Anolis sagrei: one gene and its partner. The protein of the gene in region 1 purifies or fractionates together with the protein of each later gene. This does not show direct contact. Links are inferred from orthologs where the notes say so. Each region holds a gene or a part of one and is shown on either strand. Other genes may lie near its edges. The genes, in order: PBXIP1 and SLC27A1.

Region 1 (16,456 bases):
ATGGATGGATGGATGGATGGATGGATAGGTAGGTAGGTAGGCAGATGGCTGCATGGATGGATGGATACATAGATAGATAGAGAGAGAGAGAGATGGATGGATGGATAGATAGACAGACAGATAAATAGAGGGATAGACAGAGAAATAGATAGATAGAGGGATAGACAGACAGACAGACAGAAAGATGCATAGATAGATAGAATCGTAGAGTTGGAGGAGAGCCCAATGAAGGCCATCTAGTCCAACCTCCTTCTGCCAAAATAGAGAGATAGATACATGCATATATAGAGATGCTTACATAAATAGCTAGATGCATAGATAGATGATACACATAGATGCATAGATAGATACATAGATAGCTAAATGCATAGCTAGATGCATAGATAGATGCATAGACAGGTAGATAAATTATTATTATTACTATTATTACTATTATTATTATTATTTCTATTTATTATTATTACTATTATTATTATTATTACAGATAAATGCATAGATAGATAGATGTATAGGTTGACAGACAGATGCATAAATAGAAACACAAATAGATAGGTTCGTAGGCAGATGGATAGACAGAGAATCTGACCCTTGGGAGGGGCCCCAAAGAAGGCCCCCCAGTCCCACCGTATTCATGCCAGGCTGGAGGACACCACGCAAGCCCTCCCGAGAGATGTCCTCCCTCCTTCCCTTGCAGAAAGCACTCACCCAGGGCGACCAGGACGCCGAGTCCCAGCAGAGCCAGGAATCCGCACAGCCAGATGGCCTGCCCGCCCTCCTCTCGGGCGCCCGGGGCCCGGCCCCCTCCTGCGGCAGGAACAGCCACCTCGGGCCCCTCGCGGCCCTTCCGCCTTCGCAGGCCTTCCACGTCTTCCGCCACGGGAGGACCTGCAAAGTGGAAGCGGGAAATGGGGTGGCCTCAAAGAGGGGGGGCTTCCAACCCAGGCGGGGGGAAGAGGAAGAGGAAGGGGGGGGGACCTCACCTGCTCTGTGGAAGAGGGGGGCTCCTGGCGGGGCGGCGGCAGAGCCCTCCTCAGCATGATGGGTGAGGGAGTCCTTGGCTGGCGGAGGGGCCGGGACCGGGCTGGGCTCTGAGGCTGAGGCTGCGGGGGTCTCTTCCGAAGGGACGTCCAGGGCCACCCCCGGCCCACCTCCAAGGGGCTGCCCCAAAACAAGGACAGAGCGGGATTTCAATACTCGCGTGCGTGCAATAATAATAATACTAATAACAGGGCTAGGCATCAATCAATTATTATTATTATTATTATTATTATTATTATTATTATTTCGTGTCAGGAGCAACTTGAGAAACTGCAAGTCGCTTCTGGTGTGAGAGAACTGGCCATCTACAAGGACATTGCCTGGATGTTTTCTGATGTTTTACCATCCTTGTGGGAGGCTCCTCTCATGTCCACGAATGGGGAGCTGGAGCTGACAGAGGGAGCTCACCCGTGCTCTCCCCAGATTTGAACCTCCGACCTGTTGGCCACAAGTCCTGTTGGCACAAGGGTTGAACCCAATGCACCTCTTCCTTTCCCTTCTTTTTCTCTTTCCATCCTTCCTTCCCTCTTTCTTTCCCCCTTCCTTTCCTCCTTCCCTTCCTTTCTCTCCTCTCTCTTCTTTCTATCTTTCCTTCCTTCCCCCTTTCTCTTCTTCCTTTCTCTTCTTTTTCTCTTTCCTTTCTTCCCTTTTTCTTTCCCCCTCCCTTCCTCCTTTCATTCCTTTCTCTTCTCTTTCATTCCCTCCTTTTTCTCTTTCCTTCCTTCCCTTTTTCTTTCCCCTTCCCTTCCTCCTTTCCTTCCTCTTCTCTTCCTTTCCCTCCTTTTTCTCTATCCTTCCTTCCCTTTTTCTTTCCCTTTCCCTTCCTCCTTTCATTCCTGTCTCTTCTCTTCCTTTCCCTTCTTTTTCTCTATCCTTCCTTCCCTTTTTCTTTCCCCCTTCCCTTCCTCCTTTCCTTTCTCCTCTTCCTTTCCCTTCTTTTCTCTTTCCTTCCTTCCCTCCTTTCCCCCCTCCCTTCCTTTCATTCCTTTCTCTTCCTTTCCTTTCTTTTTCTCTTTCCTTCCCTCTTTCTCTCCCTTTCCGTTCCTCCTTCCCTTCCTTTCTCTTCTTTCTGTCCCTTCTTTTTCTTTCCTTCCTTCCCTCTTTCTTTCCCCTTCCCTTACTCTTTCCCTTCTTCTCTCTTCTTTCTTTCCCTCCTTTTTCTCTTTCCTTCCTTCCCTTTTTCTTTCCCCCTCCCATCCTCCTTTCCTTCCTTCCTTCCTTTTCTTTCTTTCCCTCCTTCCCTTTTTCTTTCCACCTCCCTTCCTTTCTCTTCTTTCTTTCCCTCCTTTTTCTCTTTCCTTCCTTCCCTTTTTCTTTCCCACTCCCATCCTCCTTTCCTTCCTTTCTCCTCTTCCTTTCCCTTCTTTTTCTCTTTCCTTCCTTCCCTCTTTCTTCCCCCCTTCCTTTCCTCCTTTCCTTCCTTTCTCTTCTTCCTTTCCCTTCTTTTTCTCTTTCCTTCTCTCCCTCCTTTCCCCCTCCCTCCCTTCCTTTCCTTCCTTTCTCTTCTCTTCCTTTCCTTTTCTCTTTCCTTCCTTCCTTCCCTCCTTTTTTCCCCCTCCTTCCTTCCTATTCACCCACAGAGATTTCCGTATAGTTCAACAAGCCACCAACCCCCATGTAGCTAAAGTGGTGTGAAACTGGCATAAATGTGTGGTGCAGACACACCCTGAACCCCTCAAAGGTTAAGAGAGCCTTAAGAGTTCGATACTCGACCTTTGTTTTGGGCTCTTCTGGCTCGGAAAGGACCTCGGGGACCTCTTTTTCGTCAACGGGGGCTGTTGAAAGAAGGAAAATGGGGAATAATAATAATAATAATAATAATAATAATAATAATAATGTCAGTAAAATAAATAATATAATAAATAAATAATAAAATAAAAAATTGTGTCAGTAAAATAATAATAATATTTGTGTCAGTAAAATAATAATAATAATAATAATAATAATAATATGCATGGCTTAATCTGTTGTGAGTCTTGGCCAAGAAAGAAAAATGGGGAATAATAATAATAATAATAATATTGTCAGTAAAATAAATAATATAATAAATAATACAATAAAAAATTGTGTCAGTAAAATAATAATAATATAAAATAAATAATGTGCCAATAAAATAGTAATAATATTTGTATCAGTAAAATAATAATAATAATAATAACAACAATAACAATAATAATAATAATATGATGCATGGCTTAACCTGTTGTGAGTATAATAAATAATAAAATAAATAATGTGCCAATAAAATAGTAATAATATTTGTATCAGTAAAATAATAATAATAATAATAATAATAATAACAATAATAATAATATGATGCATGGCTTAACCTGTTGTGAGTATAATAAATAATAAAATAAATAATGTGCCAGTAAAATAATAATAATAATAATAATAATAATAATAATGTGCATGGCTTAATCTGTTGCAAGTCTTGGCCAAGAAAGAAAAATGGGGAATAATAATAATAATAATAATAGTAATGATGAGGATTGGCCCGCCTCCACTTACCTTGCTGCTTCTGGGTGGGTGAAGGGTCCTCTGTCGGGACTTCTGCCGTTTCTTCGGAGCGAAGCTCTTCCACGGGAAGGGTCTGCAAGGAGAGAGCGGTCAAAGGAGAGAGAGCAGGGGTGAGTGGGCCTGCCGGGCGGGGACGATGGGATCTGCAGTCCCACCCCAGCAGAGGGAGGAAAATACCCAACAAGGCCTAAGCCTGGGTTGATGCCAGTTTTCCGTGCCTGGTCTGTTTGAAGCAAGGGTGGATGTTGCAATTGGCAAGCTTGAATAGCACTGAGTAGCTTTGAAGCTGCAAAGTCAATCAGTGAGGGTCCCTGCATGGAAGCCGTGCAAAGTCACAGTGAGGGTCCCTGCATGGGAGTCGTGCAAAGTCAGTCAGTGAGGGTCCCTGCATGGAGGTCGTGCGAAGTCAATTGGTGAGGGTCCCTGCATGGAGGTCGTGCAAAGTCAATTGGTGAGGGTCCCTGCGTGGAGGTCGTGCAAAGTCAATAAGTGAGGGTCTCTGTGTGGAGGTCGTGCAAAGTCAATCGGTGAGGGGCTCTGCGTGGAAGTCGTGCAAAGTCAATCAGTGGGGGTCTCCGCCTGGAAGTCGTGCAAAGTCAATCAGCGAGGGTCTCTGCGTGGAAGTCGTGCAAAGTCAATCAGTGAGGGTCTCTGCGTGGAAGTCGTGCAAAGTCAGTCAGCGAGGGTCTCTGCGTGGAAGTCATGCAAAGTCAATCAGTGAGGGTCCCTGCCAGGCTACCTCTAGGTAGATACTCTCACACTGATTCACTTTGCAGCACCAAGGCTATTCAAAAATGCTCATTGCAACATGCAAACTTGCTTTCAACAGACAAGGGTTCTCTCTCTCACCCCGGGCATCATTCCAGAGAGGGTGCCTCCAGGCAACAACGGTCAAGCCGCCTCTATGCAGAGATCCTCACTGATTGACTTTGAAGTTGCAAGGCTACTCAATGCCAATCAAGCTGGCCAACTGCAACATTCACACTTGCTTTAAACGGGCCAGGGTTCTCCTTCCCACCCTGGACATCATTCCACAGAGGGTGCCTCCAGGCAACAACAGCCAGGCCACCTCCACGCAGAGATCCTCACTGATTGACTTTGCAGCTGCAAGGCTACTCAATGCTATTCAAGCTTGCTCATTGCAACAGACATGGGTTCTTCCTCCCACCCTGTACATCACTCCACAGGTATATATCCATGCAGAGACCCTCACTGATTGACCTTGCAAAATGCATGGCCTCTCCGTGCTATTCAAGCTTGCTCATTGCAACATCCATACTTGCTTCAAAGAGACAAGGGCGCTTTCTCCCACCCTGGACATCATTCCACAGGTGTGTGTGTGTGTGTGTGTGTATAGAGAGGGCTACACTCCACTTGTTTCACTGCCAAAAGAACCTCTGAACCTCTGAAGATGCCATTAGGGAAAGATGCAGGCAAAACATCAGGAGAGAATGCTGCTAGAACAGGACCTGAGAGCATGGAAAAGTCACAGCAATTCAACTGTTGTTGTTGTTGTTGTTATAGGAGTGGGAGGGCCATGTCTCACCTCTGATCCGGCCATCACCCAGCTGTTGTTGTCGGACTCCCGGGAGTCTGAGCGGTCAGCCATGGCGGCGCATGCCCAGCCGAGCCCGGCCAAAGAGGGGCCCCGACCGGGGTGAAGTGGCCCTCTGTGAGGTCACCGGGGAAGGAAGGGACTGGAAAGGAGAAACAAAAGGGAAAAGAAGGAATGGAAGGAAGAAAGAAGAGAAGAAAGAAGGAAGGAAGGAAGGAGGAGAAGAAAAAGGAACAAAGAAGAACGGAAAGGAAGGAAGGGAAGAAAGAAAAAACAGAAGAGAGAAAGAAAGAAGAGAGAAAGAAGGAGGAAGGAAGGAAGGAAGGAGGAAGGGAAAGGGAAGTGGGAAAGGCATGAAGGGAGAAAAGGGAAAGAAAGGAAGAGAAAAGAAGGGAAGAAAGCAAGAAAGGAAGGGAAAGAAGAAAGGAAAGAGGAGTGGAAAGAAGAAACAAAAAGGAAAGGAAGGGAAGAAAGAAAGAAAGAAAGAAAGAAAGAAAGAGAGAAGAGAAGAGGGAAAGAAGGAAGGAAGGAAGGGAAAGGAAAGAGGGAAAGGCATGAAGGGAGAAAAGGGAAAGAAAGGAAGAGAAAAGAAGGGAAGAAAGCAAGAAAGGAAGGGAAAGAAGAAAGGAAAGAGGAGTGGAAAGAAGAAACAAAAAGGAAAGGAAGGAAGGAAGGGAAGAAAGAAAGAAAGAAAGAAAGAAAGAAGAGAAGAGGGAAAGAAGGAAGGAAGGAAGGAAGGCAGGAGGAACAAAGAAGAAAGGAAAGAAAGGAAGGGAAAGAAGAGAGAAGGAAGGAAAGAGGAGTAGAAAGAAGAAACAAAAGGGAAAAGAAGGAATTAGGAAGAAAGAAAGAAAGAAAGAAAGAAAGATAGAAGAGCAGAGAGAAAGAAGGAAGGAAAGAAGGAGAGGAGGAAAAAAGGAGCAAAGAAGAAAGGAAAGAAAGGAAGGAGGAAGGAGGAGGGAGGGAGGGAAAGGAAAGTGGGAAAGGCATGGAGGGAGAAAAGGGAAAGAAAGGAAGAGAAAGGAAGGAAGGAGGAAGAGAATAGAATTAAACCCAGAACTATCTCAAATGAAGAATCAACACAATTGAAACCCATTAAAAATACATAAAACACCCCCCTCCCTCCAGAGAAGAAGGTGGTCTTCACACCTTTCATAGAATCAAAGAGTTGGAAGAGACCTGGGGGGGCCATCCTCCAGTCCAACCCCATTCTGCCAAGAAGCAGGAATATTGCATTCAAAGCATCCCTGACAGATGGTCATCCAGCCTCTGTTTAAAAGCCTTCAAAGAAGGAGCCTCCAGGGCAGAGAGTTCCACTGCTGAACAGCTCTCACAGTCAGGAAGAGTGGGTTGCCAAGAGTGCCTCTGAGCATGTCCCGAGTGCTTTGTGTTCGAAAGAGAGAGAAGAGGAGCCCCTTGTTGCTTTGAGGCACAAAGTCTCCTGAGCTTGGGCTTTGCTGGCCGACATGGGAAGGATTTGCAAAACAAATCCATGCAAAGAAGAGACGGGGAAGAAGGGCACGATGGAACACAACACAACACACACACACACACACAACCCTTGTTGTACTTTTTCTTTTGCTCCCTCTAAATAGAACGGTTGCAAGAACGGATCTGCAAGTGAGAGGGAAGGACGATCCCCGGAGGCAGCCACAATCAAGAGTTTTGTGCCTGACGTTCCTCTCTCAAAACAGACTCAAATTAGGATGGATGTCTTGAACGCATTGACTTGATGTTCCTCTCAATATCAAGAGAGAAGGAAGGGGAAAGGGAACCAGGGAGGAGAAAAGGGAGGGCAAAGGGTCAGGAAAAGAGAGAGGAGGAGGAGGGAGGAAGAGAAGAAAGGGAAAAAGAAAGAGAAAGAATGAGAAAGAGAGAGAAAAGAGAAAAACAAGGAGAGAAAGAAAGAGAAAGGGAGAAAAAGGGAGAGAAGAGAGTAAGAAAGAAAGAAAAAGAGAGAAAAAAGAAAGAAAAAAGAATGAGGAGAGAAAGAAAAAGGAGAAATAGAGAGAGAAGGGAGTGAGAAAGAAAAGAAAGAAAAAGAACAAGGAGAAAAAGAAAGAGAAAGGGAGAAATAGAGAGAGAAGAGAGTGAGAAAGAAAGAGAGAGGAGAGAAAGAATGAGAGAGGGTGAGAGAAAGAGAAAGAAAGCATGAAAGGGGGGAGAAACAGAAAGAAAAACAAGGAGGAGAGAAAGAAAAAAGGAGAAATAGAGAGAGAAGAGACTGAAAAAGAATGAGAAAGAGAGGAGAGAAAGAATGAGAGAGGGTGAAAGAAAGAGAAAGGGAAAGACAAAGCGTGAAAGAGAGTGAGAAAAAGAAAGAAAAACAAAGACAAGAAAGAGAAAGAACAAGAGAAAGTGAAAGAAAAAAGCAAAAGAGAAAGGAAGAGGAAGAGAAAACAAAAAGACAGAGAGAGGAAAAAGAAAGAAAAAATAGAGAGAGAAAGAGAAAGAAGGAGACAGAATGAGGGAAAGAGATAGAAAAAGGAGGAGAGAAAAAGAGGGGGAAAGAAAAAAGGAAAGAGAAAGAAAAATAGAAAAAGAAATAGAGAGAAAAAAGGAAAAGAGGGAGAGAAAAAAAGAGAAAGGAAGAGAGAGAAAGAGAAAGAAAGAAAGAAAGAAAGAGGAAGAGAAAACAGAGAGAAAGGAAGACAGAGCAATAGGGAAAGAAAGAGAAAAGAGAGAGAGAGGAAAAAGAAAGAAAAATAGAGAAAGAGAAAGAAGGAGAGGGAAAGAAAGAGAGAAAGAAAGAACGAAAGAGAAAGAAAAATAGAAAAGGAAATAGAGAGAAAAAAGGAAAAGAGGGAGAGAAAAAAAGAGAAAGGAAGAGAGAAAGAGAAAGAGAAAGAAAGAAAGAAAGAAAGAAAGAGGAAGAGAGAGAGAAAACAGAGAGAAAGGAAGACAGAGCAAAAGGGAAAGAAAGAGAAAAGAGAGAGAGAGGAAAAAGAAAGAAAAATAGAGAAAGAGAAAGAAGGAGAGGGAAAGAAAGAGGGAAAGAAAGAAAGAAAGAAAGAAAGAAAGAAAGAAGGAGAAAGAAAAATAGAAAAGGAAATAGAAAAAAGGAAAAGAGGGAGAGAAAAAAAGAGAAAGGAAGAGAGAGAGAGAAAGAGAAAGAAAGAAAGAGGAAGAGAGAGAGAAAACAGAGAGAAAGGAAGACAGAGCAATAGGGAAAGAAAGAGAAAAGAGAGAGAGAGGAAAAAGAAAGAAAAATAGTGAAAGAGAAAGAAGGAGAGGGAAAGAAAGAAAGAAAGAAAGAAAGAAGGAGAAAGAACAATAGAAAAAGAAATAGAGAGAAAAAAGAAAAAGTCAAAGAGGAAGAGAGAAAAAGAGGAAGAAATTTCCTTTATGTTCCTCTCAATTAATTAATTTTACGATCCGACGGAGGGGCGCAAGGTGGCGAAACAAAGCCGCAGAGAGAAGGGTGGCCAAAGAGAGAGAGAGAAAGAAAGAAAGAAAGAAAGAAAGGAGGAGAGAGTGCCAAGGACGGGCTCCTTGGGGGGAAGGCGGCTGTGCCCGGTCTCTTCTGGCCGGAGAAAGAGAGAGAGGGACCGGGAATGCGGGGAATCCCAACCATGCCCTCTCCTTCCCAGAGCGCTGCATGGCGGTGTGTGTGTGTGCAAAAAGAAGGGCCAGAATAGCAACAGAAGGAGGTGCCTTGGCCCTGGGGATAGTTGAGGGCCCCCCCTTGGAACTGGCTGCCCTCAAGCCAAACCCCAAAGAGCCCCTTCTATATTGGAGTTGGAGTTGCTGGGATTTATAGTTCACCTGCAATCAAAGAACATTTTGAACCCCACCAATAATAACATTGGGCCAAACTTCCCACATGGAATCCCCATGACCATCAGAAAATACTGTGTTTTCTGATGGTCTTTGGTGACCCCTCTGACACCCCCTCGTGACCCCCCCAGGGGTCCCAACCCCCAGGTTGAGAAACACTGCCATAGACGTGCAACACATAGAGGCCATTCAACATTCCCGCTTTTCCGGCTTCAGGAGGGTGTGCTGAGGTCCGGCCACAGGGGGAGCTGTGACACCCAGTTCTGGATGGAGGACTTCCTCATTCTTATGCACGCTGCTGGAAGGTTTTATGGCGCTGTAAATTAATTAAGTTAGCCTCCCCGCGTAAAGCAATACCTAAATTTCCTAGTGAAGAGAGAGGGGGCCAGGAAGACAGCTCCACCTCGTCTCCTTGTCTATTTCCTTCCTTCCCCAGATTCCTCCGTGGGGCGAGCAGAAAGAGGGACAGCTGCAAGGGCTCAAAAGGGAAGGCGCCCGGCCTTATTTATAGCTGCGCTTAATGCCTTGCAGCAGGTGGGACGCTCCCAAACCTGGGCAAGCAAGCAAGCGAGCAAGCAAGCAAGAGCATGGCCAGGGTTCCCTCCCTCCGCTCTCTCCTTCCTTCCTTCCTTCCCCTTCGGAGGCTCCCAGCCTCTCTCTCTCTCTCTCTCTCTCTCTCTCTCTCTCTCTTCTGGGCAAAAACTTCCTTTTTAGGGCAAGTCACTTTGTTTGATTTCCAGGCACTCGTTGGACTCAAGGCGACCGACCGGGACACAGGAACAGACCCAAAGAAAGGACAACTGGAACCAAGTTCCCTTCCTCTTTGGAGAGAGTCCTTCTCCCTCTTCCATTGAAAGGAGTTGTTGTTCACCCCCAGAAGTGTCGCTTTGTGTGTCTGCCACAAACTAGGTGGCAATGGGTTGAGACTCCATGATGAGACCTTCATTGAGACGCTATAGCACATGACATTGATAACAACCCAGGAACAATAATCACGTCACATAGTATTATTATTATTATTATTATTATTATTATTATTATTACTACTACTACTACTCTTATATTTATTAATATAATATTTAGTATATAATGATATAATTGTTGAGACTTGACGATGGGACATTCATTGAAAAACTCGAGCACATGACGTTGATAACAACCCAGGAACAATAATCACGTCACATAGTATTATTATTATTATTATTATATTTATCAATATAATATTTAGTATATTTATTTATATTTATTTATTTATCGTGTCATTATATACTATATTTAGTATATAATGATATAATTGTTGAGACTCGATCATTGAGAAGCTCGAGTACATGACAACAATCATCACGTCACATAGTATTATTATTATTATTATTATTACTACTATTTCTATTAATATAATATTTAGTATATAATGATATAATTGTTGAGACTCAATGATGGGACATTCATTGAAAAGCTATAGCACATGACATTGATAACAACCCAGGAACAATAATCACAACACATAGTATTATTATTATTATTATTATTATTATTATTATTATTATATTTATTAATATAATATTTAGTATATAATGATATAATTGTATTGCTATTGCAATAATATTACATCATAAGATAATTAATATAACTTAATAATATCATATAATAATAGAAATAATACAATAACATATATAATAGTTTTTAAATAAATACTAAATAAATAAACATATATTATTCTATTTATTAATATAATATTTAGTATATAATGATATAATTGTATTGCAATAATATTACATCATAAAATAATTAATATAACAATAATATCATATAATAATAGATATAATACAATAATAACATATATAATAATAAATGTAATTATAATATAAAACGAAAATAATATAATATATCATAATAATAAATATAATTACATACCGTAACGTAATGTGCTACAGCAGGATGTCCCAGAAGAACAATGTTTTGGCAATTTAATCAACTTTCCCTACGTTTTGATGGCAGACCCAATTAGGAAATGATGTTGATAACACAACAATAATATAATATAAATAATATAATATAATAATAAAACAATAAATAATATAATATAATATAAAACAACAATAATATAATACATAATAATAATAAATGTAATAATAAATATCATGACATACTGTAACGTAATGTGCTATTATAGCAGGATGTCCCAGAAGAACAATATTTTGGCAATTTAATCAACTTTCCCTATGTGTTGATGACAGACCCAATTAGGAAATGACGTTGATAGCCCAGGGACACAAATTGTGTTGCAAAGTGTTATGGACACTTTTGGGAAAGAGGATGCTGTTGCCGTGGCAACCCTGCACGCGCTGGACCAAATCCAAGGGAGGAAGGAAAGCACGCCCAATCCTACAGTCATTATTATTACAATAATAATAATAATAATAATAATAATAATAATACTAATAATAATAATAATAATAATGCTGCTAGTTCTGCCTCTCAATGGCCAACCCCTGGCCCTCCCTGTGGGGCCCCCAAGGGATCCTTACCTGGAAGGCAGGTGGGCAAGCTCTTTCCTTCCTTTCTTTCCCTTCTTCCTTCCTTCCTTTCGGCTTCTCAACTTTCCTCTCTTGAAACTTCTGTTGCAGCTGCTTCCCCTGCAAGGTGGGCGGGACCGAGGGCAGCCAGGGAACCAATCAGGAGGCGTGAGAGGGAGAGCCCAGCCAATGAGTGCAAAGCTGGCTGGAAAATAAGTCTGCAAGAAGTCTGCTCCACTTGCAGGTTGGCATTAAAGGAGACATAATAATAATAATAATAATAATAATAATAATAATAATAATAATAATAATAATAATAATATAGAGGAAACTCCTGTGGGGATTGGGAGATGCCAGGTCAATCATCATCACCATCATCATCCTCATCAGACTCTCTGTTAATCCATGACCTCTCGTGGGTTTAGTAGATGTTGCATTAACAATAAATAATAATAATAATAAATATATTAATAATACTACAATAATAATACAATACAAAAATAATACAATTACCCCATGGGGATTGTTAGATGTGTATCAATAATAATAATAATAATAATAATAATAATATATTAATAATACAGTATTATTAATTACTGTATTTAATAATACAGTAATTAATAATACAATTAACCCATGGCCCCCATGAAGATTGGTAGATGTGTATAAATGATAATAATAAATATATTAATAATAATACAGTAGATCCCCAGTTAACCCATGGTACCTATGGGGATTGGGATCAATAATAATAATAATTATTAATAAATATATAAATATTAATACAGCAGACCCCCAATTAACCCACGGTACTAATGGGGATTGGTGGATGTGTACCAATAACAAACATCATAATAATAATAATAATAAATATATTAATAATAATACCCCAGACCCCCAATTAACCCACAGTACCCATGGGGATTGGTAGTTGGTATCAATAATAATAGTAATAATAATAATAATAATAATAATAATAATAATATATAAATAATAATACAGTAGACCCCCCAGTTAACCCATGGTACCCATGGGAACTGGTAGATATGTACCAATAATATATATATATATATTAATAATAATATAATAGACCCCCAGTTAACTCATACTACACATGGGGATTGGTAGTTGTGTACCAATAATAATAGTAAATATGTTAATAATAATATAATAGACCCCCAGTTAACCCATGGTACCCATGGGGATTGGTAGATGTATACCAATAATAATATTAATAATAATAATAAAATATATTAATAACAATACAGTAGACCCCCAATTAACCCATGCCCCCCCCATGGGAATTGGTAGATGTGTACCAATAATAAAATATATATATATATTAATAATAATACAGTAGACCTCCCAATTAACCCATGGTACCCATGGGGATTGGTAGATGTGTACCAATAATAAATATATTATTATTAATAATAATAAATATTTTAATAATAACACAGCAGACCCCCAATTAACCCACGGTACCCATGGTAATTGGTGGATGTGTATCAATAATAAATATAAATATAATAATATATGAATAATAATACTGTAGACCCCCCAATTAATCCATGGTACCTATGGGGATTGGTAGATGTATACCAATAATAATAATAATAATAATAATATATAAAAATATAAATAAATAATATAGTCGACTCCCAATTAACCCATGGCCGCCCCCATGGGGATTGGTAGATGTGTATCAATAATAATATCAACAACAATAACAGGGATCGATAAATGCTGTGTGAGTGCAGTTTGTGGTTGCTTGAGAGTCCCTCTCTCTTAAAGGCAGACCTCGTGCTGTAACCCAGACCATAAACTCTGCATCGACTGGGGATTCACCTTGCAGTCCAGTCGTGAAAAGCAAACCAAGACCATCAACGCCAAACCCAACAGCCTGGCTGTAGCATGACAACCAGCTTTTCAAAAATGCAAAGTGTGGTTTCTTTGGTTTTGTTTCCACCTGTTGCTTGGATTCCGGTTAACTAAGAGTCTGCTGTAGTCATGTTTTGTTTCACATAGAAAAAAATATATTTCTATGGGTTGCCTTTGGAGCCTCCGCTTTGGGGACTCCCCCAAGCCCAAGGGCCGCCGTCCTTTGCAAAGACCGGTCTTCTTTCTCTTCGGCTGGAGAAGGAATGCAGCCAAGAAGATCCCAACAGAGGAGGGAAGGAGAGAGCGGTGCTGGCCCCAAACTGTCACCACATTTCAAGGAAGGAGGCGGCAAAGACAAAGGGGGAGAGACGGCCCCACAAAAGGTCTCTCCGCTGGCCCTGCTCCAGCTGGAAGGCCGACCCACACTTGGGAGCAAGGAGCAAACACGGGGCCAAGGCTCTTCCTCTGGAACATCGGGGTTAGGAATCCTTGGAAGCGTCTACACGGTGATTCCAATGCACTTTGGTCCCCTTCTGCCCCGTTGCCCCCCTCACCTGCAATGCTTCTGCACACCCCAAACTGAACCCCAAACTGAGCAAGACACAGGGACGGGCAAGTGGCATCAAAGGCTGGACAAAATAAGAACCATAATAATAACCACAATAATAATAATCCGGCATATAGATCTCCTTTGCTGTGACATACTGTGCTTCTGTGTCAGAAAAATAATAATAATAATGATATTTAATCGTCGAAGGCTTTCATGGCTAGAATCACTGGGTTGCTGTAGGTTTTTCAGGCTATATGACCACGTTCTAGAAGCATTCTCTTCTGACGTTTCACCTGCATCTATGGCAAGCATCCTCAGAGGTTGTGAGGTCTCTCACAACCTCTGGGGATGCTTGCCACAGATGCAGGCGAAACGTCAGGAGAGAATGCTTCTAGAACACTCTCACTACCTCTGGGGATGCTTGCCATAGATGCAGGCGAAAGGTCAGGAGAGAATGCTTCTAGAACACTCTCACAACCTCTGTGGATGCTTGCCAGAGATGCAGGCGAAATGTCAGGAGAGAATGCTTCTAGAACAGTCTCACAAACCTCTTGCCATAGATGCAGGCGAAATGTCAGGAGAGAATGCTTCTAGGACACTCTCACAACCTCTGAGGACGCTTGCCATAGATGCAGGCGAAACGTCAGGGGAGAATGCTTCTAGAACACTCTCACAACTCTTCCCATAGATGCAGGCGAAATGTCAGGAGAGAATGCTTCTAGAACATGGCCATATAGCCCGGAAAACAGACAACAACCCATTAATAATTATGTCTCCCAAAGGAGACTCACTTAACATAAAAGCTGACAAAATGCCAAAAGTTAACATAAAACTTTTGTCTGGGGTTGCAAAATTGTCCATCTACACTGTCGAATTAATGCACTTTGATACCACTTTGATGCTAAAGGATGGTGAGAGTTCTAGTTCAGTGGCATTCGGCAGACCTTGTCAAATCATGAATCCGTAGCACTGAGCCATGGCCGTGCTATGCATTAATGCTAATAATAATAATAATATAATTGTATATTTTATATTAAATGTAATATTACTAATAATATTACAGGATAATGTTATAGTACAATGTAATATATAATATTAATATTGTGCTAAGATAATAATAATAATAATATATTGCATTTACTTTTTACTTGTCAGCCGCTCTGAGTCCCCTTCGGGGTGAGAAAGGCGCCATATCAAGGTCGTCAATAATAAATAAATACGTAAATAAATCAATTTATATTTGCAGGTGGCTGATTTTGGAGGCAGCGGGTTCCGGGCTTGACCCCAAACATCCCCAATCATTACTAAATATGTAAACATTTTCAAGAGGAAAGGAATACCCCAATTACTTTACAAAACGTCACTTTTTTAATGTTTTCACATAAAAACAAGGAGGAAAAAAGGGGGGAATTACAAACCCAAGGATGGCGCCCCGCTCGCTCCCCCCACCCCCCAATCCCCCCTCCCTCTCTTCCCAAAAACCCCAAACACATGCGCAACCCAAGGAAAGTCAACAAAAAAAAAGGGATTTGCTTAAAAAACATTATTTAAAAAATAATGATCATGATCATAATAATAATCCGTGTCCCGAGAGTCTTGTTTCCGTCTCTCCCGCTCTCGGGGGCAGAGCTTGGAAGCAGAAAGCGTTCCCCAAGAGGTATCTCGTGTCCCCCAAAAAAGGTCCGGCTTCGGAATCCGTTCCAGGCCAAATTTAGGGGAAAATTAGGAAATTTCCCATCTCCTTTCCCCCAAAGTCTGTAGAGTGTCCTTATTGCCATTGATTTGGAAACGGAAGCAGAAAAGCGTCCACAAGCGTATAGAGCAAATGGACGCAGCTGTCGTGCGTCACTCTGGAAAGCAAGAGGTGTGGACTAGTGCTGATAACAGCACTTCCTGTGTTCACAATGTTACGATTGGACGGTGCGCTGAGTGTTAAGTAGCTTCTAATGTATATCGCTGTAAAATAATGTAGTTTATAGCCTAAGGTGGCTGTCATTGATCACGTTCCTGCCTTACTGACAGCTGGGTTATGGGCCCAGAACCACGTTTCACCGCTGCATCTAATCTACGATGATTGTCACTGACAGAGGTCTCTTCCCAGAAAGGCTTTATTGTTTGAGAAGGGAAGCCCCATCAGGCTCCTCTCTGAGGGTCCTTCCACACAGCCGTATCAACCAGAACATCCAAGCAGATCGTCCACAAAAGGGCCAGAGGATTAGCACGGGTGGTAAATCATCAGCAATTATAAGATCTATCAACCAAAAGGTTGCAAGTTCGAAGCCCTGGGTTGGCGTGAGCTGCCAACTGTCAGCCTAGCTCATTGTTTACCTAAGCAATTTGAAAACAGCTTTAGAGAAATTAGGTACCACTATATAGAGGGGGAGGTGTTTTACGACACCATAAAGAAGGAAGATCAGAAAATGTTGGGCCACCAAAAGGAAGGAGGAAGCCAACAGCACCCCCTGGACTCGAGCTCCAACTTCCATGGCACCTCCTTCTGTTCTGTCTGTCTGTGTATTGAATGTTTGCCGTGTATGTGTACTGTGATCCGCCCTGAGTCCCCTTCGGGGTGAGAAGGGCGGAATATAAATAAAGTATTATTATTATTATTATTATTAT
Region 2 (16,210 bases), on another chromosome or scaffold:
GCAAAGGAGGTCAAATAACTGGAAGAGGGTAGTTGTGTCTTCATATTATGAGGAACAAAGATTCCAAAACGAATTTGCAAACATCCTGCTTGTTGAAGCAAGTGGGAGCTATTATCCCACTCTGAAAAATTTCCACTTACAGAGAAGAATTTTTCATGGTCCATTTTCCCATTTATTGAACTAAAAAAAATCAATCTACAAGCCACATTTGAGTTGCCAGGGAACATAATTGTAATGCTTTGTTGCAAGGAGACACACAGCTTTACATGTAAATCAGTATCATGCCATCTATTCTAGCCAATTCTTCATTAAATAAATAAGTATAATATAGTAGCTAACCATTTTGGAGCAGAAACAGGAATAACAAATTATGGTTGTTGTTCTTATATTTCTTATATGACTCTCCCTATGGACTGAGATGGGAAACAACAGATTAAATCACACCAAAATAGACTTTTAACAACAATTAAACCCACAAACACTAATTAAAAACACAACCATCTAACAGAGCATACCATCAAGTTGTTGCTGGAAGAACTAAAATCAAATTTGTGCTCATCCATGCAGCTGAGTGATTGTGAATGAGCAATCAGACTAACTTATGTCACAGGACTATTATGTGGATAAAATAAGTTGACCCTTATGTATACTACCACCCCAAGATCTTTGGACAAAGAGCAGTGTACAAGTATGTCAAAACCTATTATGGGCAACAACTAGCAAATGCACACATCCCCTATTCATGCTGGGTGGCAGCATGAAGATTTATTATTACTTCCCAATCTATGATTGAGCTTTATTGTATTAGACCTTACTGGGTTTTCTATTTCTAATAATTGGTCACCCAACCAAATTGGAAGAAATAGTTCATTCAAAGCTGTTCAGCTGCAACAAAAATGTAAAGGACCCATTGATAAAAATTATGAGTGCTGTGTGAACAGAGTATACACACAGAGAGATGTGCCAAACGGAATACTAGACCCTGGGAACATACCGAGATTTACAGCCAGCAGGCTGAGAATGCTTAGAAGACATATATGTAAGATACAGAAGAGGAGACATGGAAAGACAGCATGTGCACGAACAGCACATAACCCTTTCTCCACAGGGCAGTTTACCATTAAACTGCCTGCGGGAAGGATCCTGAAATATTTCACTTCAATAGTGTTACACTTAAAATGTCATTGTTGCATTCATATTTTCACTGGTATGAAGATATGGAAGGATATGTATATCCAAAAGTACATGTACAAATGGGAGGTTACTTACAGAACTCAGTGCCACAGACTGTTCTCTTTAGGCTGCTTGGTATTCTTGAACTGTTTGGGGTCTGGTAATGTTGTTTTGTAGTTGGTTTATTTCTTGATGTACTGTTAAGCATCATTCTTAACAGCACATCAAGTGAGATAGCTGTTGGTCACTGAGCTAGACAGGCACCAAGGTGATTAACTAAGAAATTTATCAAACTGGCCATTGTCATGGAGCTAAAAAACCCACAGCAAGAAAATAGGCTATTTGATGTGGGAAAACACAGTGGAAGAAACAACAAACACTGAAGTAACATCAAAGAGCAACAAGCAGTGATAAGCCATGTCTCTGCCTGATGATAACAGAGCATTCGATCTACACAAGTTGGCATCCTTGCTGGAAGAAAAAAATCCCAGGATCTGAGGTCTGGATATTAAAACAAGATCACTTGGAAAGATGAAAATATGTGGGCAAAACAGGCTAATTAAGCACTTCTGGAACGATGACAGGGAGAAACAAATTATAAGCAGGAGGAAGAAAACTAGATGCAGAGGATGGGAACATGGAAGACTTATATGCAGGGAGAAAGCTAATCTAGAAGTAAAAATGCTCTATCTTTGGCACTATCAAACAATTTCAGGACTAGTCCACAGACAATAACAACAGCCACCCTGGGCTCACATCAAGCACGTTATGGCTCTCCAGAAGAAGTCTGGGTGTTATTTCCACCAGTCCTAGTGAGCATAGACAATAATAAAGGAAGACATAAACAAATGGAAGGCCACACATTCTCCAACCCTCTCTATTCCTGCTCTGTGGATCACAAAGGGGGACTACATGGCTTCTAATTGTGGAATGACTCCTGTGGCTGCCTGTGTAAGGTAGACATAGGGCATTAATTGACCACATGCTACTGAGGGGGACAGAGGCAGCAATATGCCGCCCCAACCACTTAGCACCAAAGGTGTGTGGTGTCTTGAGGCATCTACAAAAACTTAGCAAGATTTTAGGGGGAAAAATCTGACTATTGACACTTATTGATGATCTACATGGAAACAAATGATACCGCTGGATATAGCTCTGAATGTACTTCTACCACAAGGCTCTGTTAAGGGATGAAGTGGATATAAATGGTGTTTGTCATTCATTTATCTTGAAAGACATGGCTTAGGAAGAGAGAGAATACTGGAAGCGAACGGCTGGCAACAGAGATTGTGATGTTGGGAAAGACTTGTACTTGGTTCAATTGTCTGTGTTGAAAGATTTGGTTCAATTGTCTGTGTTGAAAGATTTCTGGAAGGAGTTACATCTCATGGGGGACTAGGAAGACCGAATTTAAATTACCAAAACAGTTAAAACATATTTAAATCATACATACAATGTATATGACAAAAGACAGCATCTAAAAACGCTGAACTCTCCTTCATTAGTGGTTTTTAAAACTGGCTGGATAACCATCTGTTATTAGTGAATTTCTTGCATCAGCGAAAGACTGGAGTAGATCACCTTTACAATCTGATTGTTAGATGTGGTGATGCTGATTATTGGATTTCTTAAAACATTTGACAAGCTAATAAAATAATGTAGTAGTTTATCAGACAAAAGAACAACATGGTATTTAGTAAGTCAGTCACCAAGCCGTTTAACATATAAAAGTGTTTCTGTCAGCAAGACATAAGCAACAGAACCAGATCTGGTACTGGTTGCAATTCAGGTGTATTGCATGCAGACTTTTTTAAAAATTAATTTTTATTGGTTTATGGTGCACACAGAAAACAAGACCGACATCAGAGGAAAACAAAACAAAACAAAAAAACAGAAAAGAAAAAAATATATAGAAAAGAGTATGCAAGTTTACAGAATGGTATACAGTCAGCACTCATTAAACGTATAAAAAATCAACTTTGATTGTACAGTTATTATACCTTAACATTTATTTCCCTCTAATCCTACACCCGTTAACTCAACCCCCATGACCTCCAACACCACTCCGTATGGATCACATAACTAACCCACAACTACCCACATGTCTTTTTTCACTAAATCCCCTTTATGGCAATCTTCAAATCTACTTTTGTCTTCTTTTCGAGATATCCAATTGCCAACCTCAATTTTTAAACACATTTTTCATTATTTCCTCCTCTGCTGCTATTTGTCAGTTTGGCCATTTGGATATAATCTACTCATTTATCTCTCCAATCCTTAATAGTTAACTCTTCCCCCCCCCCCCTTCCATGTTTTAGCTATTATTAGTCTCGCAGCGACAAAACAAGACTGACAAATTTCTTCATCTCCTGCGCTAATAGACCTTCTAAATATTCCTAATAAGCACATTTCTGGGTTTTTCTTGATTTTTTTTTTTTGCTAATCAGTTTGTTTGCTTCTTTCGCCACTTTTTTCCAGAATTCTTTAACTATGTTACAGGTCCACCATACGTGGAAAAAAGATCCCTTCACCTTCTTGCATCTCCAGCGAGCCCCTCGTCCTGTTTTCTCTATTTTAGCTAGTAACTGGGGTTATGTAGTCTCTGTAAAACATTTTAAACATATTTTCTCTAATTGATCTGGCCACTGAAAATCTAAACCCCTTTTTCCAAAGATGTTCCCACTCTTCCAAATCGATATTTCTACCTACATCTTTGGCCCATGTGATCATAACAGTTTTTATTTGGTTGTCTACTAAATTGTATTCTAAAATATATTTGTAGAGCCTGGATATTAGGCCTTTGTTTCCCTTCTCGAAGATACTTTCTAACTCCGATTTATTAGAGGCAAATCCGACTTTTGCATCCTTCTTAAATCTGTCATGTAGTTGGACTTCTTGAAGGGAAGGGCAGACTCAGTCTCAGGGAGCACTCAGAAAAGTAACACCTACAACAACAACACTCAGCAAGGAGTTCGGAATTTATGACATGTGGGGAAAGGATGGAGGACCCACATTTGTTTGGCTTAGAGAAAAGAGCTAAATTGGTACATGATATCAGCTTGCAAATATCTAGACAGCAATTAAGATGACACGGAGCTCTTCACCTGGGTCACATGGAAAAGACAAGAATCAAGTCATGACTTTTGAAACATAGTTAGGCAATGATTCTATAAACATTGTGAAATCAACTGCTTCCAATCATTTTTTTAAAGGAAGTGAACATCTGCCAAAAAAGGAAATGTCCTGCAGATGTAGTGGGCAGTTCTTCTCAATGCCACTGAAAAAATTATCATCTAATCCCTTCAGGTCATGCACGAGTACCAACTTGTCCCTTCTGATTCATCAATTAGAGTACTGCTACTTAGAAAACTTGTCACTGATGCAGTTGCATGGTATGCTAAAGTAATACAGTTGATGTGTTGTCGAAGGCTATCATGGCCAGAATCACTAGGTTGCTGTGAGTTTTCTGGGCTGTATGGCAGGCATCCTCAGAGATGGCAAGGTCCGTTGGAAACTAGGCAAATGAGGTTTATATACTGTATGTACTATATATACTTGAGTATAAGCCTAGTTTTTAGCCCTTTTTTTGGCTGAAAAAGCCAAGGGGGATGAGGGTTCTGGCAGGAAGGCGTGGGGTTGAGGAAGGGCTTCTTTTACCTCCATGCCTTCCTGCCACGACCCTCACCTTTCCACACAGCAACCCAGCTCTCCTTCCTCTCCGCACCAGTCTTTCCCACTTTTTTCTATTTGTATACACACAGCATTTCCCTCAAAATGTATAGTTAAAATAAATTATGGTGATAACTGGAATGATACAGGTTAGAAGAATGATTTAATCAGAGTTGTACAGTCTTATGTTAAATTACAGTTTTATGTAAATATTCAAAAACATTTAACCTACTGATGCTTCAATTAATGTAATTCTATTAGTATCTATTTTTATTTTGAAATTTACGAATAGCTGCTTCATTTCCCACCCTCGGCTTATACTCAAGTCAATATGTTTTCCCAGTTTTTTGTGGTAAAATTAGGCGCCTCGTCTTATATTCAGGTTGGCTTATACTCGAGTATATACAGTATTTCTGTAATGTCCAGGGTGGGAGAAAGAATAGTTATTTCAAATCTTGTCGGTTACAAAGTCTGTCAGGGATTACAGCACCATCACACTTTTCAAGGCACAGCTTTTTTAGATCCAGCTAGCAGATGACAAAACAGCATGTTAGCATGCCAAAATAGTATTTCCCTGCTCTTAAGAGGACAAACGACTGTCTCCTGCCAACTAACCTTCAGCAGATCCCTCACTCCACAGCTCTACTCTTCCAACTGTTACACTGTGTTAAAACAGCAAAATAAGATTTCTTTCCAAAAATGAGAGATGCCAACAAACCAGGCTAAACAAAAAACACAAAAAATGGCTTGCTTTTCATACCTTTAACAGCAATCAAAGGTCCAGAAATTTAACATGCCAGCCAGGTCTTTTTACTTCATACAGGTAAGGACTGATATCAGCTGGTCAAGTCCAACTGTGGAGCTGCTTGTAAAAGATACAAGTTACAGTGGTTGCTAACCCTGTTAAGTACCAAACTCCTGCAAAACCACTCAACTAATAAACAGAGAAAAGATGGATGGAAATCGCTGCCAGATAGTTTAGTAGTTTACGTAATGTAGTAATCGTTTATTTTGTAACACGCTCATGCCTGCTATTTTTCTCTTTTCGTTATCAGCCCGGGGTTACTACGTGGGTCCGAGACTGCCAACAAAAACCAGGTGCTGTGGAAATACATTTCAAAGGAAGGACTGGGCAAAAGCACCTTCTCAGTACTCTTTGCAAAGCAAACTCTGTGAAAAGGCATGGATTGAGGAAACTTGAAGGTACCTACTCAGAAGTGTTAGATGTTGATTTATATTTTCTGGTTAGTAAAGATAAAGGTTTCCCCTTGATATTAAGTTTAAGTTTAATTGTGTCTGACCCTGGGGGGTGGTGCTCATCTAAACTGGAGAGCTGGTGTTGTCCATAGATGCCTCCAAGCAGGCCTGTAGCCAGGATTTTGATTTGGGGGGGGGGGGGGAGTTTGATTTTGGGGGGGGGGGGGGCTGAGTCTGAGCGAAAGAGGGTCTACCCTAGCAAACCTTTTGTATTGTTACCCCAATACCCCCATGCATATGGCATATATTGAGCATGATGATCAGATCATGATATGAATAAACATAACAGTTTAAATAATGCACCAGTAAGGCCTTCTCGCGAACCACCATGAGAATTTCGGGGGGGGGGGGGGCTGAAGCCTCCAAGCCCCCCCCCCCCCGGCTACATGCCTGCCTCCAAGGTAATGTGGTCAGCACGATTTCATGGAGCGCAGTTATCTTCCTGCTGAAGTGGTACTTATTGATCTACTCACATTCCTTGTTTCCAAATTGCTAGGTTGGTGGAAGCTGGGCCTAACAGTGGGAGCTAACCCCACTCCCTGAATTCGAACCGCCAACCTTTCAGTCAGCAAGTTCAGCAGCTCAGCAGTTAAACCCGCCGCACCACCAGGGCTTAGTAGCTATTTTTTTCTGTGTGTGCTTGGAGTAGTTTTAGTGTATACAGATATTAACCAAAAAAATTGACGAACAACAGTCATAGAATCCTAGAGTTGGAAGAGACCTTGTGGGATATCCAGAAGCAGGAAAATCGCTTTCAAACCACCCCTGATAGATGACCATCCAGCCTCTGTTTAAAAGCCTCCAAAGAAGGAGTGGTTCTGAAATCCACGTTCCTTCTCCCCTCAGTGACCTGCAGGCTTCACATAGGGAGAGTCTGCCCGCCAAGAATGGGCCAGGCCCACCATGCCATTGAGGACTCTTTGTAGGATATTAATATTACAATATAACGGTATAGTACAATATAGTTATATATAATACTGATATTATATATATATTTATATATCTTGTAAACCGCTGAGTCCCTTTCGGGGTGAGAAGGGCGGCATATAAATGCTGTAAATAAATAAAAATAAAAAAATACATAGGACAAGCCAAACAACAAACCTACACGCGCCTACTTTGATATATACATAGATGAGGAGGAGAGGGGATCCCTCCAAGCGGCGTCACAAAGTTACCCCTCCCTCAGCCCTGTTACCAGGACAACGCTGCCCCTCGCCCCCCACCCTCCACGTTGCCAGAGTAACGGCCACGCCAAAGCTTCCCCCCCCCGTTGCCAAGGGAACGCCGCTTCCCCCTCCCTCCCCCAGGGCGAAACGGTCGTTTCATACCTCGCGCTGGCAACCGCCACTTTCCTCACACGCCTCCTTCACCTTCGCTCGGCTCCTTCTCTACAGAAAACGCTCACGGGGCCAGAGAGGGAGGGAGAGGGGGCGGAGCCTAAAGAGGAAGCGCCGCCTCAAGCCCCAGAGAAGCGTGAGGGGGAGGGGGGAGGAGAGTAGGCGAGGCCAAGGCACCGAGAAGAGCGGAAAGAGTGGGTCGTGGAACGCGCGGAAAGCGTCTCCTGAGCATGCGCGGAGAGGCCTGTGGTTTGCGAGAGCCTGTGGCCCTGACAATAGAACGCGAAACGCTTTTACCTCCCAGCGTCCGAGACCGTCTTAGCCAATCACGAGAGAGCCGGTTCATGACGTCACATAGGGGCATTCTAATAGGAGTAGCGGCGGCCTTTAATTTCATAGGGTTTTCTTAGGAAAGGAATGCTTAGGGATGGTTTGCCAAACTGCTATTTGCTTCCTCTGGAAAGCGGCCTGATATCTCTTCCCCACGACCACTCTTCCAGTATCCTAATCTGGCAGGAACAATTTGAAATAATCCTTTGTCATTGACCTTCAACTGCTTTAATAATGTCCCAGAAGTGGTTGGCTAGCCTGCTCTCCAGATTTGGCTTGTGATCTCCCCTTGTGATTTTTTTCTATGGGATTTTTTTGAAATCCCATGTTTATATGAACCGTCCAAGGACCCTACAAGATTTGAAGACCAACATCCAGGAAGAAATTGCCAACATAACGCCTGCTATGCTGGCAAGAGTCGTGACAAATACCAGAAATCGGTTTACTCAGTGTATGGAGAATGGGGGACGTCACCTACCTAATTTGATCTTCAAAATTACGTAAAACAAAACTTTAAGTATGTGCCTACATTACAAAAAAATATTCTCATTCATAAAATGGGTTTTATTAAGTTTTGAAAAAAGGAAGTTATGCTGCTGCACCCTATACAACTCTCATGAGTCCATAGCATTGGGAAATGAAAATTAAAGGGTTTTTTTCGTGTCAGGAACGACTTGAGAAACTACAAGACCTCACAAGCTCTGAGGATGCTTGCCATAGATGCAGGCGAAACACCAGGAGAGAATGCTCTTAGAACATGGCCATATAGCCCGAAAAACCTACAACAACCCAAACTGCAAGTCACTTCTGGTATGAGAGAATTGGCTGTCTGCAGGGACATTGCCCAGAGGACGCCCGGATGTGTTACCATCCTGTGGGAGGCTTCTCTCATGTCCCCGCATGGGCAGCTGGAGCTGATAGATGGAAGCTCACCCTGCTCCCCAGATTTGAACCGCCGACCTTTCAGTCAGCACAAAGGTTTAGTCCATTGTGTCACTGGGGGTTCAGTTAAAGTAGTGTGGAACTGTATTCTACAGTGTTGATGCACCCCCTGGTATCTTCCTCCTCCTCCCACTTTCCTCTTGTTCTCATGTTGCTGAAAAACAGGACCCCAAAATGAAGTTTAGAATAGCCCCATAGGTGCCAGCAATGGAGACTGCAATGATCTTTTCCCCAGTTTCTGATGACTTTTCTATGAACTTGTCATGAATTGGACAAGCACTATGGACAAGCACTATGTACACACCCCACACCTCTGGAAATGTCTCAAAATTTTAGTTTAGGAAAGGGCCTAATGCAGTGGTTCTCAACCTGCGGGTCCCCAGATGTTTTGGCCTCCAACTCCCAGAAATCCTAACAGCTCATAAACTGTAGGTCAAAACACCATGTTCTAGAAGCATTCTCTCCTGACATTTCACCTGCATCTATGGCAGGCATCCTCAGAGGTTGTGAGGTCAATAGATGCAGGTGAAACATCAGGAGAGAATGCTTCTAGAACATGGCCATATAGCCCGAAAAACCTACAACAACCCAATATAAACCATGTCTCCATACACTGATTTATTCTGTCTGGAACTGTTGACATACCTATTTTGCCAGAAGGTTTTTCATAAAGTGCCATAGCATCAGTTTGCATGTAATTGAGCAAAGCCTAGATATTTAATTGAGACAATGTTTTCCAGTGTGTGGCTATTTCTAAAGGGCTGCCACCAAGAGTACAATGCAGGTTTTTGTGAAGAGGCAACTGTTTTCACAAGAGATGGACAATTCTTACTTGAGAACAAAACTAATGGTTAGAAATGTATCAAAGGGAGTGATTACTAAACCTTGAAAAGATATGATGTTCTTCTTTTGTTCTTTTTGAGAATGAATCGGATGTTCTGTGACCTTTCCTCTATATCCTAAATAGCAGAACTCCTGAATTCCTGTTTCCATAATCCCAACAGTATTACTAAAGAGCTCACAAGGCTTGTTGGGTAGAGTTTTTCCTATTCATAGTGAAGTTGAAGGTACTAAGAAAAGAGGGAAACTACGGGCTCTTCCAGACGTTTGGAGAAGATCTGGGCTACTGACCTGGGACCTGCCAGCACTGCCTGAACTGGCCGCCTTGTCAGAAACAGATCTAGTAGTAATATAAGCAGATATAGTCCTTCATATTCTTCCCTCAGAACAAAGAGGGCCGAAAGCAACTTTCTCAATCCTAGGCTTTTTCTGCAATAATCTCCAGGCCCACATTCACTGTTCTACTAGGTTTCAAATTAAGTTTGGCTCACAAAAATGTCCCACTGAAGAGGGAAACTACGAGCCCTTCCAGACAGACTCTATATCCCAGAATCTGATCTGGTTTTTTATTTTAAACTGGATATGAGTCCACACTGCCAGATAATTTGGAATAAACAGAAAACCTGGGATCAGATCCTGGGATATAGGGCCTGTCTGGAAGGGCCCTAGAATACAGACGGATTGATTCAACTAAGGAAGTTCAAAGCCAATTAATAGTGGCTTTGGTAAGTGAACAAGGGAACAAGAAGCTGTATACACACTTGCACCTTTCTTCAAATTAAAAAACAACAACATCAAGACAAAGAAGATGCTCTAAACTTGCATTTGATACTGATCATCATCAGGAAGTTTTTACGTTATGATCCATTTTCCGACTCCCAAGAGATGAAAGGAATGCTCTTTTTCAGGTCTTTGAGTCTACCAGTCAGTGTTTTGGCCTTCAGATTTTGTTGCTGCTGCTGCTGTTATTTTATTAAATAATTCAAGTTATTTGAGTTTTAATCCATATTGGGGTAGAAGCGAGGTTTTTTTTGTTTTTTGGCCAAATCTGCCCACTTCCCACATTGTCCCACACATTTTCAAAACCTCCAAAGCATATTTTTTAGGAACTGTGAAGAAAGAAGAGACGAATCAAACATTTGGAATTTGGAAGTAAATTATTATAGGTATCTAGTTAACCACCCCAGATTAGAACTAAATCCAAAATATACAATTACTGGTATATATTTATAGGGTCAACAAAAAAGCATATCTGGTGAAGGTGCTAAAAATCATACAGGAGAAGGAGAAATGATGCAAGAAAGTCACGAGCCTACATTTTGTCTTAAGATGTTTTACTGTTGTCCATTCAGATTATTTCGCTAGCAGGGTATCAGTGTAGTCAAAAGCCACATTTGGCCATGTGAGGGCTGGGAAAAAAAGAGCAGTAAAATACAGATAGTCAAAATTGGTAGCGTAGCTATCATTTTAATTATTTTTACTGCTACAGGTGGCTTTACTAAGTATCAAGAGAAAAATATGGGCCCCATGCTATTTCCTCTACAATGCCAATTGGACAGGGGAGTATGTTAATCCCATTAGCCCGTGGGTTTTGGAGTCCAGATGAATTTTGAAGCACATTTAGTTAATGTCAAGAAATAGGAAAGATACTTTCAAAAATTGTAGCAATGACAATAACTAATTCTTTTCAGGCTTGGAACTATAGCTAAAATTAAATAGTAGGTAAAAGTAGCTTTACAAGTTATGCAAAAATCATATATGCTGATTATATCAGCTGGAGCATCCTGTGAACAAAATTCACACAATCTTTTTTTATCTTCCTACTAACCTTGTGACATAATTTAAGATGAAATAGTTGTTTGCATAAAGCTTCCTCAAACTCCCAATGAACTTCAAGGATTAACATCAGATTCAGATAAAACAAATCATAATGGCCTCAAGGTAGACCATTGTTTCAGAAGAGGCATGTAAACACAATATTTAGTGATTCCTTGCCAGAAAACATTTTGCTTTATAGGAGTGATTTGCCCAAAGGGTATTGACCTTAAGATCACAAGACACAGATAACACCTGGATGGTTGACATGTTGAGTGAAGCCAGCTGGTATTTTCCAGTTGCTGTCATTCCTCTCATTCCCTCCCCATGTCGATCAAGCCTTCCTTTCCATACCAAATTGGAGAGGAGGAATATATGTGAAGTGAAACATAGGCAGGGAGGGTTAGGACCCTTCCAGACAGGCCCTATATCCCAGGATCTGATCCCAAGTTTTTCAGCTTTAAACTGGATTATATGAGTCCGCACTGCCAGATAATCTGGGTTAAACAGAAAAACTGGGATCAGATCCTGGGATATAGGGCCTGTCTGGAAGGGCCCTTTAACTCCTTCCCCTTGCGGCCATTGGTCTGTTCTATAACTTCTATATATATAACAGTTTATTATTTATGCAGGTGTTTTGAAGACACCTCAAGAGGTACATTGTGAATTTAAAAGGCTACTTTAAGTGTATTTAAGTGTTTTGTTTGGTTTTTCTAATTTTATCTAACTGGAATATTGGGCTGGACCGGATTCCTAATTATACTATTTAAAGGGCCACAACTCGTAAACTGTTTGCTTCGTGTTTTACTCAGTGAATCATGGAGGGAAGGAAGGCAGTAAACCTTTGCTAGTAAACATGGTCAGCAAAAATAATTGTCTTCCTGCTCTCAAGTAAATAACAGAGGAAGCCTGCCTGCTCTGGCTTATGGCAAACAGCGAAGAGACAGGGACAGACGGTGTGGGTGCAACTCTCTTTAAAGACTTGTCCTAGGAAGTAGTAGTGTATCAAATGTGAGGTTTTGTCTTATGCATATATAAAAGTCATAGTATGTATTTTGTCAAAGGTAAAAGATCCTATTTTGGATCAGGAGGCAATACACACATAAGTGACTATAATGACAGAAAGGAATTTATTAAAGAACCAAGCATGATAACAAAAGCATAGTAAAGAAATATGAGCCATTCAAGTTTTTCCCCAGTTTGTTGTTGGGAACCCCTGGATCAGCAAACAGCATGCAGCACTTGTCTGGACTCTTCCTCTTCGAGATTAAACATTGGCTGAGATGTACAGATTTTTATATCTTACTAGCTTATGTACCTGGTGTTGCTGGGTTAGGGATTTGGTAAGGATAAACATTTGAAAAAGGCATTGTTTGTTTTTGTATTTTATGAATGGTTCTGTTAGAAAAGGATTGTAAAATTCAATTCCCACCATCTTTTGACATGCCCCCCTAAAACCTATCAGTGTTTAAAGTTTCTCATGTTGGGTCTGTGTGCCAAGTTTGGTCCAGATCCATCCTTGTTTGGGTTCACAGTGCTCTCTGGAGGTAGGTGAACTACAACTCCAAAACTCAAGGTCAATGCCCACCAAACCCTTCCAGTATTTTCTGTTGGTCATAGGAGTTCCAGTATTTTCACAATTGTGTGTGGATGTGGATGGACTATAACTCCCGCCATCCTCTGTTATTGCTTCTAAATCTCACCAGTATTTTAAGTTGGTCATGATGGGTGTGTGCCAAGTTTGGTCCAGATCTGTCACTGGTGGGGTTCACAGTGATATCTGGATTTGGATGGACCACAACTCCCATTGTCCAAGGGCCATCCTCCCGCCCTCCCAAAGCCCATGTCCTTAAAGCTGATCTGACATGGCAAATATCTCCCCATAATTCTATAAGATAACAGAAGGGGAGTAAAGGTCAACCATCTGAGCTAAAGTATCCTACCACATTCCAAGGCTGTACCGTTCTGGTCAATATTTAACCATGAAAGAAAACATCCTGTTTTCTTAAAGGAGACCTACACTCCTTTATGGCTTTTAGGGGCTATAGAAAGAGACAGGAGCAATGAGCAGCTAATCTCGTCACACTAGTTCACTGCAGAATTCTGGAGTTTGTAGTTTAGGGAGGAGTCTTTAACAGCTTTACTAAACTACAAACTCCAGAATTCTGCAGGAGGCAGAAACCGGATTTAAAGTGGATTCATTATCTAGTGTGATGAAGTGGTGAGTACACACCTGGCTTGCCTCTTTGAGATAACAATATTTTTCTGTGGGTTTCCACTGCAGTTTGTATACATGTATGCTTGCTTGTATTATAATCTTTAGAAGTCATCAAATGGGAAAAACAAGCCCTGAAGAACCCTAAAGAGATACTGAAATCCTTTAAAAGGCACCAAATGGGCAAAACAGGCCCCGAACAACCCTAAAGAAGCTCTGACCAACCTTAGAAAGGCACCAAATGGGCAAAACGAGCCCTGGACAACCCTAAAGAGGCCCCGAATAACATTTAAAAGTCACCAAATGGGCAAAACAGGACTTGACTAACCCTTAAGAGGCCCTGAACAACCTTAGAAAGGCACCAAATGGGCAAAAAGGTCCTGACTAACCTCCCCCCTCCCCCGTTATGTCAGCTCCACTGGCTGCCGGTCCATTTCCGAGCCCAATTCAAAATGCTGGTTTTGACCTATAAAGCTCTATACGGTTCTGGCCAGCTTACTTGTCCGAATGCATCCACCCCTACGTCCCGCCTCGTAATCTAAGATCATCTGGGGAGGCCCTGCTCTCGCTCCCGTCAACAGCACAGATGTGTCTGGCAGGGATGAGAGACAGGGCCTTCTCGGCGGTGGCTCCCTGTCTATGGAACACACTCCCGATTGAGGTAAGATCGGCTCCCTCCCTCCTGGCTTTCCGAAAGAAATTAAAATCATGGTTTTGGGACCAGGCTTTGGGCAATAGATGCAAGCAGCACTTTGACTGGAACGGCGATACGGCTGATGAGATTGTTTTACGGTTTTAATGATTGCTTATGTATTGTTTTTAACTATGACATGTTCAATTGTGGTTTTATTATTGTAATTGCTATGTAGTGGTATCGTAACGGTACCCATTGTAAGCCGTCCTGAGTCCCCCTTCGGGGGTTGAGAAGTGACGGGATAGAAATACGGTAAATAAATAAATAATGAAGAGGCCTTGAACAACCTTAGAAAGGCACCAGATGGGCAAAACAGGCCCCGAACAACCCTAAAGACGAGCTAAATAACCTTAGAAAGGCACCAAATGAGCAAAACGGGTCCTGAACAACTTTTAAAATGGAAAAAAACGGGCCCTGAATAACCATTAAAAGTCACCAAATAGACCAATTGGGCCTTGAACCTCCTTGTGGTTCAATAGATCTAAACCAAACTTGACATGCATACTCTTCATTATCCAACTTAAGATATTCTATCATGCTTTTCAGAGGTGGACCCTTAAAACAAATTAAAAGGAATGTGTATCTCCAGCATTCAGATACAATCACAAGAGGGCAGTATATAAAGGATTTGCTATTGGTCTTCAATGCAATCCCCGACTGGGGCCAAACTGCTTAGCTTCAAAGAAAAGGCTTTCAGGGGGTCAGGCCACATGAACAAGTAGAATCAGAAAACGGTCAGGAAATGTATAGGCAGACAAGGTGGCATCCTCATGAGCGGGCCCAGCACGACTCTTATCATGAGGCAATAGCACATCCCTGAAGTTCACAGCAGGGACATCCAGACCAAAAAAAGGAAATAAGTAATTTAATGAAGATTTATATTTTAAAGCGTGTGTGTCTACTCAAGGCAGAAATTCAAATTTTATAATGATGCTTGCTCAATGCAACAATTTCAGATTTTATTTAAACAAAATTGTCTACATCAGGTTGTTGTTTACACCTTTCTGTTTGGACTAGAGTGCAACTCAATGCCGAGAGAGTTTGGCTCGCTCATAGTAACAATTACTAATTAGCTTTTGTACTTGGTGTTGTCTAGTTAAGCATTTTCTAATGCTATTTATTAGACATACTCATTGTTAGCTTTGTGATATTATCAATTGTCCCATTAGAAAATGCGGACCTGGGCAATGCTGGGTGTACAAGCTGGTTTTACAGGTATTGTTAAGCCTCCGTATATGCTATGGATGATGCGACAAAATGTAAAGATCTAAGTTACCAATGTATTATGACAAGGTTAGTCAAGTCTTTAAAGGGACAATAAAAGTGAGGTTCATGGGCCACATGCACCCCAAAAGCTATTTTTTGTGAAGGGCCCTTATTGGGATGGCCAGGCGAAACAATTGAATTTAGTCCTCTGCGTTTCAGCCAGAATTCACAGGAATCAATATTCTTGTTCAGTTGAACCGCTACCCAGTGTCTTGCAGACTGGCACTTACTATGGACCACGATTTTCAGAAGCAGTCCTGTAGATGTTTTAGTTTTCAACATACAGTTGTCTTGCCAGCTTGGATAGGAACTCATCCAAAAATATGGGGAGCCAAAGGTTCCTCATGTATGGCTTGGACCCCAAGACCTGAGCATCATCTTACCCTAAATGAGCCTGCCAACACCCTCCAGTAGTCCCAACTTGCAGGAACAACCCTAATGACTCCATTTTGAGATGCATTTCAGATGCTGCTGAACTGCTGACCTGAAGGTTGGCAGTTCAAATCCACAAGACGGAGTGAGCTCCCAGCTGTCTGTTCCAGCTCCTTGCAGTTTGGAAACATGCAAATGTGAATAGATAAATAGATACCGCTTTGGCGGGAAAAGGCAAAGAGATGTTCCAAGCAATCTTGCCAGCCACACAACCAGGAGGTCACAATGCAGGCTGAA

What was found.
Region 2: the proteins of PBXIP1 (region 1) and SLC27A1 purify together in Homo sapiens (co-immunoprecipitation; 3 studies listed by BioGRID and IntAct, with this or other methods). This does not show direct contact. The link is inferred for Anolis sagrei from reciprocal best matches to the Homo sapiens genes PBXIP1 and SLC27A1.

The regions. Positions count from the first base shown.
Region 1 is NC_090032.1:267,254-283,709, reverse strand, and holds the start of PBXIP1 (pre-B-cell leukemia transcription factor-interacting protein 1), read right to left. Parts: upstream 11,658-16,456; 5' UTR 11,419-11,657; intron 7,063-11,418; exon of another isoform or gene 6,684-7,062; intron 5,256-6,683; 5' UTR 5,168-5,255; coding exon 5,105-5,167; intron 3,632-5,104; coding exon 3,550-3,631; intron 2,814-3,549; coding exon 2,752-2,813; intron 1,159-2,751; coding exon 981-1,158; intron 886-980; coding exon 706-885; intron 1-705. UniProt on the Homo sapiens protein: Regulator of pre-B-cell leukemia transcription factors (BPXs) function. Inhibits the binding of PBX1-HOX complex to DNA and blocks the transcriptional activity of E2A-PBX1.
Region 2 is NC_090022.1:146,941,176-146,957,385, forward strand, and holds the start of SLC27A1 (long-chain fatty acid transport protein 1), read right to left. Parts: upstream 7,553-16,210; 5' UTR 7,431-7,552; intron 1-7,430. UniProt on the Homo sapiens protein: Mediates the import of long-chain fatty acids (LCFA) into the cell by facilitating their transport at the plasma membrane.